Drosophila melanogaster: one gene and its partner. The protein of the gene in region 1 interacts with the protein of each later gene in a pairwise test. Each region holds a gene or a part of one and is shown on either strand. Other genes may lie near its edges. The genes, in order: CG7029 and CG12116.

Evidence for each region.
Region 2: the proteins of CG7029 (region 1) and CG12116 interact in a two-hybrid assay, tested with the Drosophila melanogaster proteins (one large-scale study listed by BioGRID).

What each region holds. Positions count from the first base shown.
Region 1 is NT_033777.3:22,779,886-22,785,035, reverse strand, and holds the start of CG7029 (uncharacterized protein), read right to left. Parts: upstream 3,309-5,150; 5' UTR 2,878-3,308; intron 570-2,877; 5' UTR 274-569; coding exon 1-273.
Region 2 is NC_004354.4:8,466,862-8,470,861, forward strand, and holds CG12116 (uncharacterized protein), read right to left. Parts: upstream 2,152-4,000; 5' UTR 1,894-2,151; coding exon 1,072-1,893; 3' UTR 582-1,071; downstream 1-581.

The DNA of each region.
Region 1 (5,150 bases):
CTGATGTTGCAGTTGCTGCGGCACATAGTAGTTCTCCTTGGAGGAGCTGTTGCTGTCGCAGCCGCTGCTGGTGCTGCTGCTGTTGCTGTTGCTGTTACTCGTGCCACCGGCGACATGTTGCCAGCAGGCCGTGTGGTTGCCATTGGCATCGCTGGCTTGCGGATTGCTCTGGCCGCTGTGGTGGGTGCAATCGATGCCGGCCCTGGAGCAGGCGGCACAGCGTTTGGAAATGTCTACGAATCTCATGATGAAGGCGAGCAGCAGCAACAACATCTAGTTGTTGCAGGCGTATGTTGCTGCCGATTTATTTTTGGCCAGTCCGCTGCGGACCAACGCTGCGATGTTGCCAAGATGTTCTTGGGACAGTGTCGCTGCTTCTGTATTGCTGTATTTTTAGTTATTGGCTCTTTTTTTTAAGCGGTTCAACTCCATTGATTGGTTGCACATTTTGTTTGGATTTTTCCTTTCGGTTCTTCTTTTCTATGCTGCACTTTTCATTTTGATTTCTTCGTAGTCTTTGATGGCTATTTATACATGTTGTTATGCTTGATGCGTAAGTTTTCTCTTCTCTATACGACACATGGACCAAGTTTTATATATAAAAATAACACAGATTGTTTGTGTGTATGCGCTACACTGTTCAGCCCACAAAAAGTTTTGTGTCTGTTGATATGTTTTCGGTGTGAGAAGCATATAAAAATAATTTACGAGTTTTCTGCATTCGGTTTTCGGGACTTTTATGTTATTTCTTCTATCTAAACTTTAATGCGGAGTTTCGACGAAAAACGTCTAAAATTAACCCACCAAACTAACAATGTGGCATAAACAAAAGCTGTGTTCCCACCATCGATTTATGCCCCTGCGGCTTTGGGCCAAACTCGGAATGCAATTCCTTTGGCCTTTCCTGACGCGCAAATTAACTGCATTCGTGGCTCGTTAGCAAAAGCGTTAGCAGCAAAGCCCCCAAAACCCTAAAGGTGCCTAATTTATGGCATCAAATTTCCGACACAAAAAACGGAAATGGCCATCCTTGCTAAACAGAGGGCTTTTGAAGCCGTGTAGCTTTGGCCAGGCTCGCCACAGGTGTCTAAATTTAAATCACTGGCCGAAAAGAAACTTAGCCAAGTTCATTAATATTAACTTGTCGTCCGACATTTTGGCGAGCATGTGTCATAATGTTTGCTATTGAAATCTATCTAGAGCGCACATGAGCTTGCCAAAGAAAAATATCTAGATCCACCAGGTGCTTGGCATAATGAGATTATAGGAGATATATCTGCATACTTGATGCCTGACATCAGCAAAAGATACAATATCTTTATATATTTTACAAAGGGGAAATGCAACTAAATAGCAATAGCAAAATTGCTACAAAAGTGGTAAGCCAGTAGTAATAAATGCAGGAGATATATAAAACCTCTTTTTCCTTAGTGTAAGATGACAGACAAAGGATCGCAAAATGGCCACCAACCACCGGGGAAAGCGTCGCGCACGAAAAGGAATCCCTCAGGACTGCGTTTTTCAAATATCGAGAAAGGGAAAGTCTGAGGAGTGCTCAGGCGCACCAAGGACCTGGCTCGGAAAATGCCAAACGGCTTTGCCGCATCTGGCAAGCGGCCAAAATACATAGGAACCAAACCAACATACACTCTGCCACAAGGCGGTGGTACGCACAAGTATATGTACATGGTGGAAAAGAAAAGTGCTCTCGCATCGAAGCGGCATTTAAGCAGCTCCGATAAACATGGTGGCAAGTTGTCCATGGCCACGCTCCAGCTGCCTTGTATTTGCCAAGAGCCATGAAGTTCTTGAAATCATAAACATAATGTTTTTGGTACGAACGCAAGTAAGAAGCCGACGCACTGCGAAAATATTGTGTGGAAATTGCAGATGCATTTCGATTTCGTGCACGCAACTCATTTGGATTTCTCTTTGCACCTTGCAATTTTCCGCGGCCGGGGCAAAAATAAACAGCGCATGTAGCCGATGCGAAAGTACAGTTTTTTCACCCAGTTGGAGCTGCAAGGTGTAGCCCCCCACCAGGTTCAATCACATTTTGAACTCCAACAAAAATGTTTGTTTAGGTGTTGGCATTGCGGACAAGTTAAGGGAAATGCGTGGCAAATGACACATTACATTGGCCTCTAATGTCGGCAATTGCAATCAATAAAAGTTTAATAGCAAGATTGGTTTATAAAATATTTATATAATATATTATTTGTTCAGCTACTTTCTTTTTGGTTCCTATAGATATAGTTTCAAACCCTTATGGTGTCGCATAGGCAAGCCCTTTTTTTGTAAACACAAGTATATATATTTTCCTCATTGTTCTCGAGATGGCAAGCATTTTAGTTTAGTTCAACGTACTTGTTGGCCTACATTGCGCCTAGAAAATGGCAGCGGGAAAACTCTTTTGGCGGAGTACGCCATGCCCGCCAATTAAATGAGGCAGCCCAAGAAAATGCATCTGCATTTTCCACGATGGCGATGCAGTTACAGATATAGCCGCATTGTCGATGTTGTTTCTATTTTGTGTGCCGATTGTAATTACGAAATCATCAAACGCATGTGTGCATATCGACGCGGAAGTCTTTTGGTTTTGGCAAAAAGGTCAAAGCTATTTGCAGATGCAGATACACAGTTGCTACTTTGACAGGCAAATCGAGCTTATCAACCGGTTGCTGAACGCTTTTATTTGGCTTAAACAAACACTTTTGGCATGCCCAACAAATTTTAGTTGATAAGATAAGCCTTGAAACTGGTAGCAATGCAACTGACAACCTGATAACCGATTAGATACAGACGCCGACTACAGATGATCTCATTTTCGAGTGCAGAAAACTCATAAATAATTGTTAAATGCTGGCATTACATTACCCCAAAAACGGATTGCGTATTAGATAATCCCAAAAAGTTCGTTGTCAAAGAGAACTTTGGTTCCTTTGTTCGTATCAGACATTAAAGAAAGTACACAAACACAGACACTCTCGTCTACCGACGATGCACTTAAGATGGCCAATCTAACGAGTATCTTTCAGATAATTCTGTGGGGATTGGCTCACGCACAATTAAAGCCCTTTAAGTGATTCCACTTTGATTGGGATGCTGCTGCTGCTGCGTCACACAAAGTATCTACGAGTTTATTATTCAAACCAGACGAACGGAACGACGAACCGACGACGAGGCGCGTAAACAAATTAAGCGAAATGTGAAACGAAAAATAAGAAATACATATAGATATATATATGTATGGAAAATAATCAAGGCTTTCACAAACGACACGCTCCGCACATTTTCACAGTTGCACCAGCCCAAGGAGACTGACTGAAAATGAAAATACGCGAGCGGCAACGACAATCTGAAATCCGAAAAAAAGAGGCGAAGCGACGGCTACAAAGCGACGAGGCCTCTATGTGTGTGTGTGTGCGTGTGTGTGTGAGAGAGTATCTGTGAGAGGGCACCTCCCAGTGTAAGTATCTTCGGGGTGTATCCGAGTCCGAGTGAAAAGAATGAAAAGCACCCGAAAACGCACGAAGTACCCCAACGCACGGAACATTATACAATGTGGTGCATCGCCGAGTTAACCCCAAAATAAGGAAACATGTAGCACGGACTCCAGCGAAAAGTGAAAACGAGAGCGACAACTTCATGGATACGGCTAATAGCACCATCTGTGGCGCAGCAAGTGCAACCCTTTGGATATAGAAGTTTATTATCCATGGTTTTACAAATGGTATATAATAGAGGTAAAGATAAATTCTCATTTTAGAAAAATTAAGTATGTTGCTACTACTATTAGAAATAGAATAGAATATTCCACAATAAAAATAATCGTAATCCACAGGATTAAAGATTAATAATTGATTTGATCTTCAGGTCTGATAGCAATCTCCCATTAAAGCACTGAATGCAATGCCCGTTCAAATGGCACATTATGAATAATGGAAATCTCTAGTTGAATCTTAACTAATTATACAAACAAGTAGTTAGTTCAAGTCATTGTTATTGATTAATGAGAGCGATTGTTATTAAACTTATTTGCTTTTATCAGTTTGAAATGACTTCAAATAATAATTTAGTATTTCATTGTTCACTTTTATACCAAACCATCGATCATTTTAGCTTGTCACAATTAAGATCCTCTTAGATATAAAACAATTTCGAAATTACTAAAAACTATTTGTAATATTTCCTCTTCAGCCAAATAAATCACTGCGATAAGCGCCGACCATCTGGTAAGTAAATCAACTGCAGATTTTGATTTATCTCTGCGACTAATGAAGCCGTTCAAGTGGGAAACCAAACCAAGTGCCCACTTGGTCCGGCCAAACAAACATCCCTCCTCCACAACGATGGTGGTAAATAGAGCTCGAAGAGCCTGAAGACGCCTCTTCCGGCAGGATGAAGATCCAAGTTTCCCGGCACGGCGCATGTGCACGTGCTGCAAGCAAAGCAAACACAGAACATGTGCCCCTCTTTGAAACTGAACACCGCACATAAAATTATAGCATAGAATCACAGTTCGAGGGGGGTTCAAAGTGCGGGAGCAATGCACAAGTGCTCATTAACAATTACAAACAGGCGATCATCAGTCAGTGGAGCGCACTACATTTTCCAATTTCCCAATAAAAGCATTATAAATGCGCATATGTACATTTCCCCCCATTAGATTCGAATGGTAGACAAAGGCAGGGCATGAATGAGTTGAATACATTAAGTAATCATCATCGGTATTCACAGCACAAGCACCCTGTAAATGCATATATTATATTCATATACCCCCTATCTATTATCAGCTGTTTTGGTGTACTGCTGCTGATTAAATCAACCTCAAACAGACGGGGAATGCTAAAAAAGATACATATGTATATGTACGTACATAGATATCACTTTCAATGAACAGCAATTGGCTTGTTTACATGAAGATACGAAAAAGTATATATACAAACGCAAAACTTGTCGCTTTTCTTTTTCTTTTTTTTTGGGATTTTCTGCTACTTTTATTTGTTAATTAATTATTGTCGGCTTCGAAAGATCAGCGGATGCCATATGTTTTTGGGTCTTGAAAGGGAAAAAAACAGGTCGTGATCATAATCCATAAATTAGAATACCAGACATAGCAAAAAATTATAAAATAGATCTACAGATGG
Region 2 (4,000 bases), on another chromosome or scaffold:
TTGTCATTAAATTTAATTTGTATGTTTATTCCCCGCATCCAAGGGAAAAACTATAAAATCCAACTGATTACAGAATCTTTGCAACATTGTAGGGAAGCTCCATTTATAATTCCTGATTGCTTTTTACAATATTTCATTTGTAATTTGATTAGGAAAGCTTTAGCAACATTTTGAGCAACTTATGGCTTTTTAAATTACTTTTCTATAAGGAATACCCAAAAGTATGCCTTGAATATAAAACAGTTGATTCATTGAAAGTAAACTGAAAAAAAAAAAAATTGAAAACCATAAATACATTTAATCAGAATGAGGCGAACTAAGCCATTTATAACTGTATAGATTAAAGATTTGTCAAAACCTCATTAGTTATTAACTACAAATTCAGTAGCCAAATTTTCACATATAATTTTGAAAACCCGGATCAAGAATCAGTCTATTGGGAATTTTGAAAATTTTCGACCCGGCAACACCACACATACAAAATTCTATACATTTGAACACGTGTGGGTTTTCTTATCACTGAGACTATTCAATCTGTCTCATTTTCTGTTTTGAGCTAACAAATATATATATATATATATGTATATTCTGTATATTTGTTTAATCTGTTGTGCATTGCTGACTCATAAACTCACGCCTGCACATACAAATTTACCAATAGTAACTAATTACTAAGTATATTCTGCAGTACTCTTTTTTTGAACATCAGTTTTAAATATATTATAGGTAAAATATAAGGAGTGTGCTTCGGTGATTCCTGTCTATTCTAATTAAAAATAGACTCAATTTCAAATTCAGTTGAAAGTAGCAAATCAACAATATATGTTAATATTGTGAATGGCAAACCTATAGAAATCTAAAATTCTACCCACCCACCCAAAATAAAAATATAATTTTTCGTTCGTTTTCCTGTTCGTGTGCTTGATTTTCGTGCACTTGCAGGTCTGAAATCTGGGACATTGGCCAGATTTTATTAATTTCCAAGGCGATCAAGTCATGTACAGCATTTAAATCGTCAACCAAGATTAGAACCGAGTCCATCGGGGACGCAGCCCACCGCCACGGTGCTACTCATAAAACGAAGGTGTCGTAATAGTCGACATCGTGACCGGAGACAAAGGATATCTCCTCCAGAATGTTGATCAGCTTGAGTGTGGCCTGGCAGGGCTTGATTCTCGGCAGCTGGAGCAACTGCTTCGTGGCTATCAGATCAGCGGGAGTGATCCGATTGCCGTTCACATCGCACTGTCCCTCGTGGGTGTCCATCAGACCGGGCGAGAAGCTGAGCACATGGACACCGAAACGATACTCCTCGGCGGCCATGGCGCGGAAGTACATATCCCTGGCCCGTTTGCACGAGCAAAGCAGACCAGCATGGACCAATGGACGTACCATCAGCGATGAGGTCACATTCACCGCCAGCTTCTCCACTCGCTCCAAGTGCTTCGATTGCAGCCACGTCTGATTGAGCGCCACCGGAGCATAGAGCTGCTGCTGGACATAGGCCTTCCAATCGTCGTCGCTCTGGGGTTCCAGGAGCATATGCGTGGCCGCCTTTCCCTCGTTGTGAAGGATTATGGAACGCTCGAAGCGTTGATTGTCCTTATCCGCCATGAAATTATCCATCAATGCCTGTTCCATTAGCTGCACACCATTCGAGTGATCTTTGTCCAACTTTCCGATTGTCACCTTAACGTTCTCCGTCTTCAGTTCGCTCCGGAGATGATTCTCCAGCTCCCGAAGCTGCTCCTGATCCTCATCCAAGATCAAAGCAAGGGATCCAGTGGCCAGGCGACGGCAGAACTCCAGCGCCAGGGATTGACCCAAAGGATTTGAGCTGCCGCTCAACACCAAAAAGGTGCGTCTATTTAAATCCATTCTCTTTGCTGCCATTATTTTGATTTAAAGGATTTCGGGTACTTGAGGATTTCGGGAACTGAAGAATCTTCCACTTGTTTTCACTTGAAGCTGTACGACTGTACTGATGCCTTATTTCCTCCGGGCTTTGCCAACTGGACTCTGTTTTCGACTGATAAGCTTTATTCCGATTTCGATTGGCCAACTATATGTGCATATATATGTATTGTATATATATTTATGCTCGACTGAGCAACTCAGGTTCCGATTCCGTATGGAGAAGCGCTCTGGACTGGTGGGGATGTCAGCTTGGGGCTTTTATACAACCCAATCGACTGATAAGCCGGGGTTCAGGCGTCTGGTCTTGTTGCCGTGCCATTAACCATTTGTAATGTTTGGGATTTTGGCACCGTAATCCGGACCCATGGCGCATCATTTAACCTCTGGAATCTGATGGAGTGGTGCGCCAATATTACGCATCGGGGGCCTGGTCCTGGTAAATAGACATAGTTTAGATAATGTCCTAACAAACAAATTGCTCTATATGCTTTAACATAGATTATACTTTTCATTTCATTTTATACTTTCATATTAGAATAAGCTAATTTTTTCAAGCCCCTTTTGGCTTTGCCACTGTTTCCCATGAGCCAAAAACCTGATCGATTGTCATCTTGAAGTTCATCGAGTTCCTTTGATATGGCGCTAAGTCAAGGTTGTCTTTTTAGTGCAAGAGATTAACCAAAGAATTTTGTAAACAAATCAGTTGGCAACAATTAATAGTGTAGCACAGATGGGGACAATATTATGTGGAAAGTAGAATAGTACATTTTATAGTTTTGTCTAAGCAAAGTCCCTTCTTTTTTTTGCAAAACAAATTAAATAAATTTCCATTCATATAGTTTTTTCCCATTAAAACTGCTTTCCTATTTTAAGTATATATGTTTATTTTCCGAATCACATAACAGGTTATCGCATTCAGTCGTTGAACTTTCGTAGACGAATAAAATGCAAATGGTTTTTGCAATTACATAATACATATAATATATGCCTGTGAATTACATGGGTAGTGTAACACGTGTGAATTTAATGAACTCTCTCGTTACTAAACATCCGTTAAATCGCATGTTTAAAGATAACGTAAGGTACATATATATTAATGTGTCATATAGGGGTTTTTTTTTTTTTGCCTAGAAATGTGATTTTTCCATATTTCTATAGACATTATCGATCGGAAGGGAAGTGCTTTAAAATCTATATTCAAGATCTATCGATAGACGGCAGTGTTTCCAGAATTTGCTGTTTTGACTATATTTTCGCCAATAACAAGCTCGAATTAGGTTAATGGCCTTATTATATTCCGGTGGAGTCTGCTGCCGATTCCCGGATTCTCGTTTCGAGATGACGCTGACCCATTTAGAAATCGGGAACGGAACGCAGTTCTAATCGTAGTATAACCAAATAAGCTCACATTTGATGGAGGGAATAGCTATGCAAAATAGAGTATACAGATTATCTAAGTCGCACTACTTCCCTTTTCTTATAATATATAATTACATATTAATATATTCATATATTGCAACATAACTGCAAATCCAAGATCAAAAATAAACCTCTATGCACCTATGAATGCCAAAATCTTGATAACTTTGCTGTTTTGCTTGTTGGATAATGACCAGTCTTGAATGGCTGGAACATCTTGGTTGGTGTACCCCTACTTCATTGTTAGCCACTCACATGGTATCGTCCAAAGTTCTTGGAATTCACCAGTGGACAGTGGCAGTGGGTAATAGCATCACATCTGTCTGTTTATGTTGATTTAGGGGTATTATCAAAAGTGCGCGGGGCTTTCAAGCCGAAGCACGTAGCATCGCAGCTTTAGTGGGCAGGCGTGGACCTAATGGAAAGCATATTTGGAACACAGGCTATACCTGAACCTGACCCTGTCCTCCGTTCAATGTCGTTCAGCGGGAAAGTGACCCCTAGAAGATTTCATTTAGCTGGAAGAAAGAGTGAAAATTTCATTCACCTCGATCAAAATCGAGAGCAGCCCAGCTGCGGAAAACTAATGCATGAGCACAGCTTTCGGCGATCTGCGGTTTTCGGGTTTATCACGGTTATATAAGCCGTGTGGACCGCTCCCACA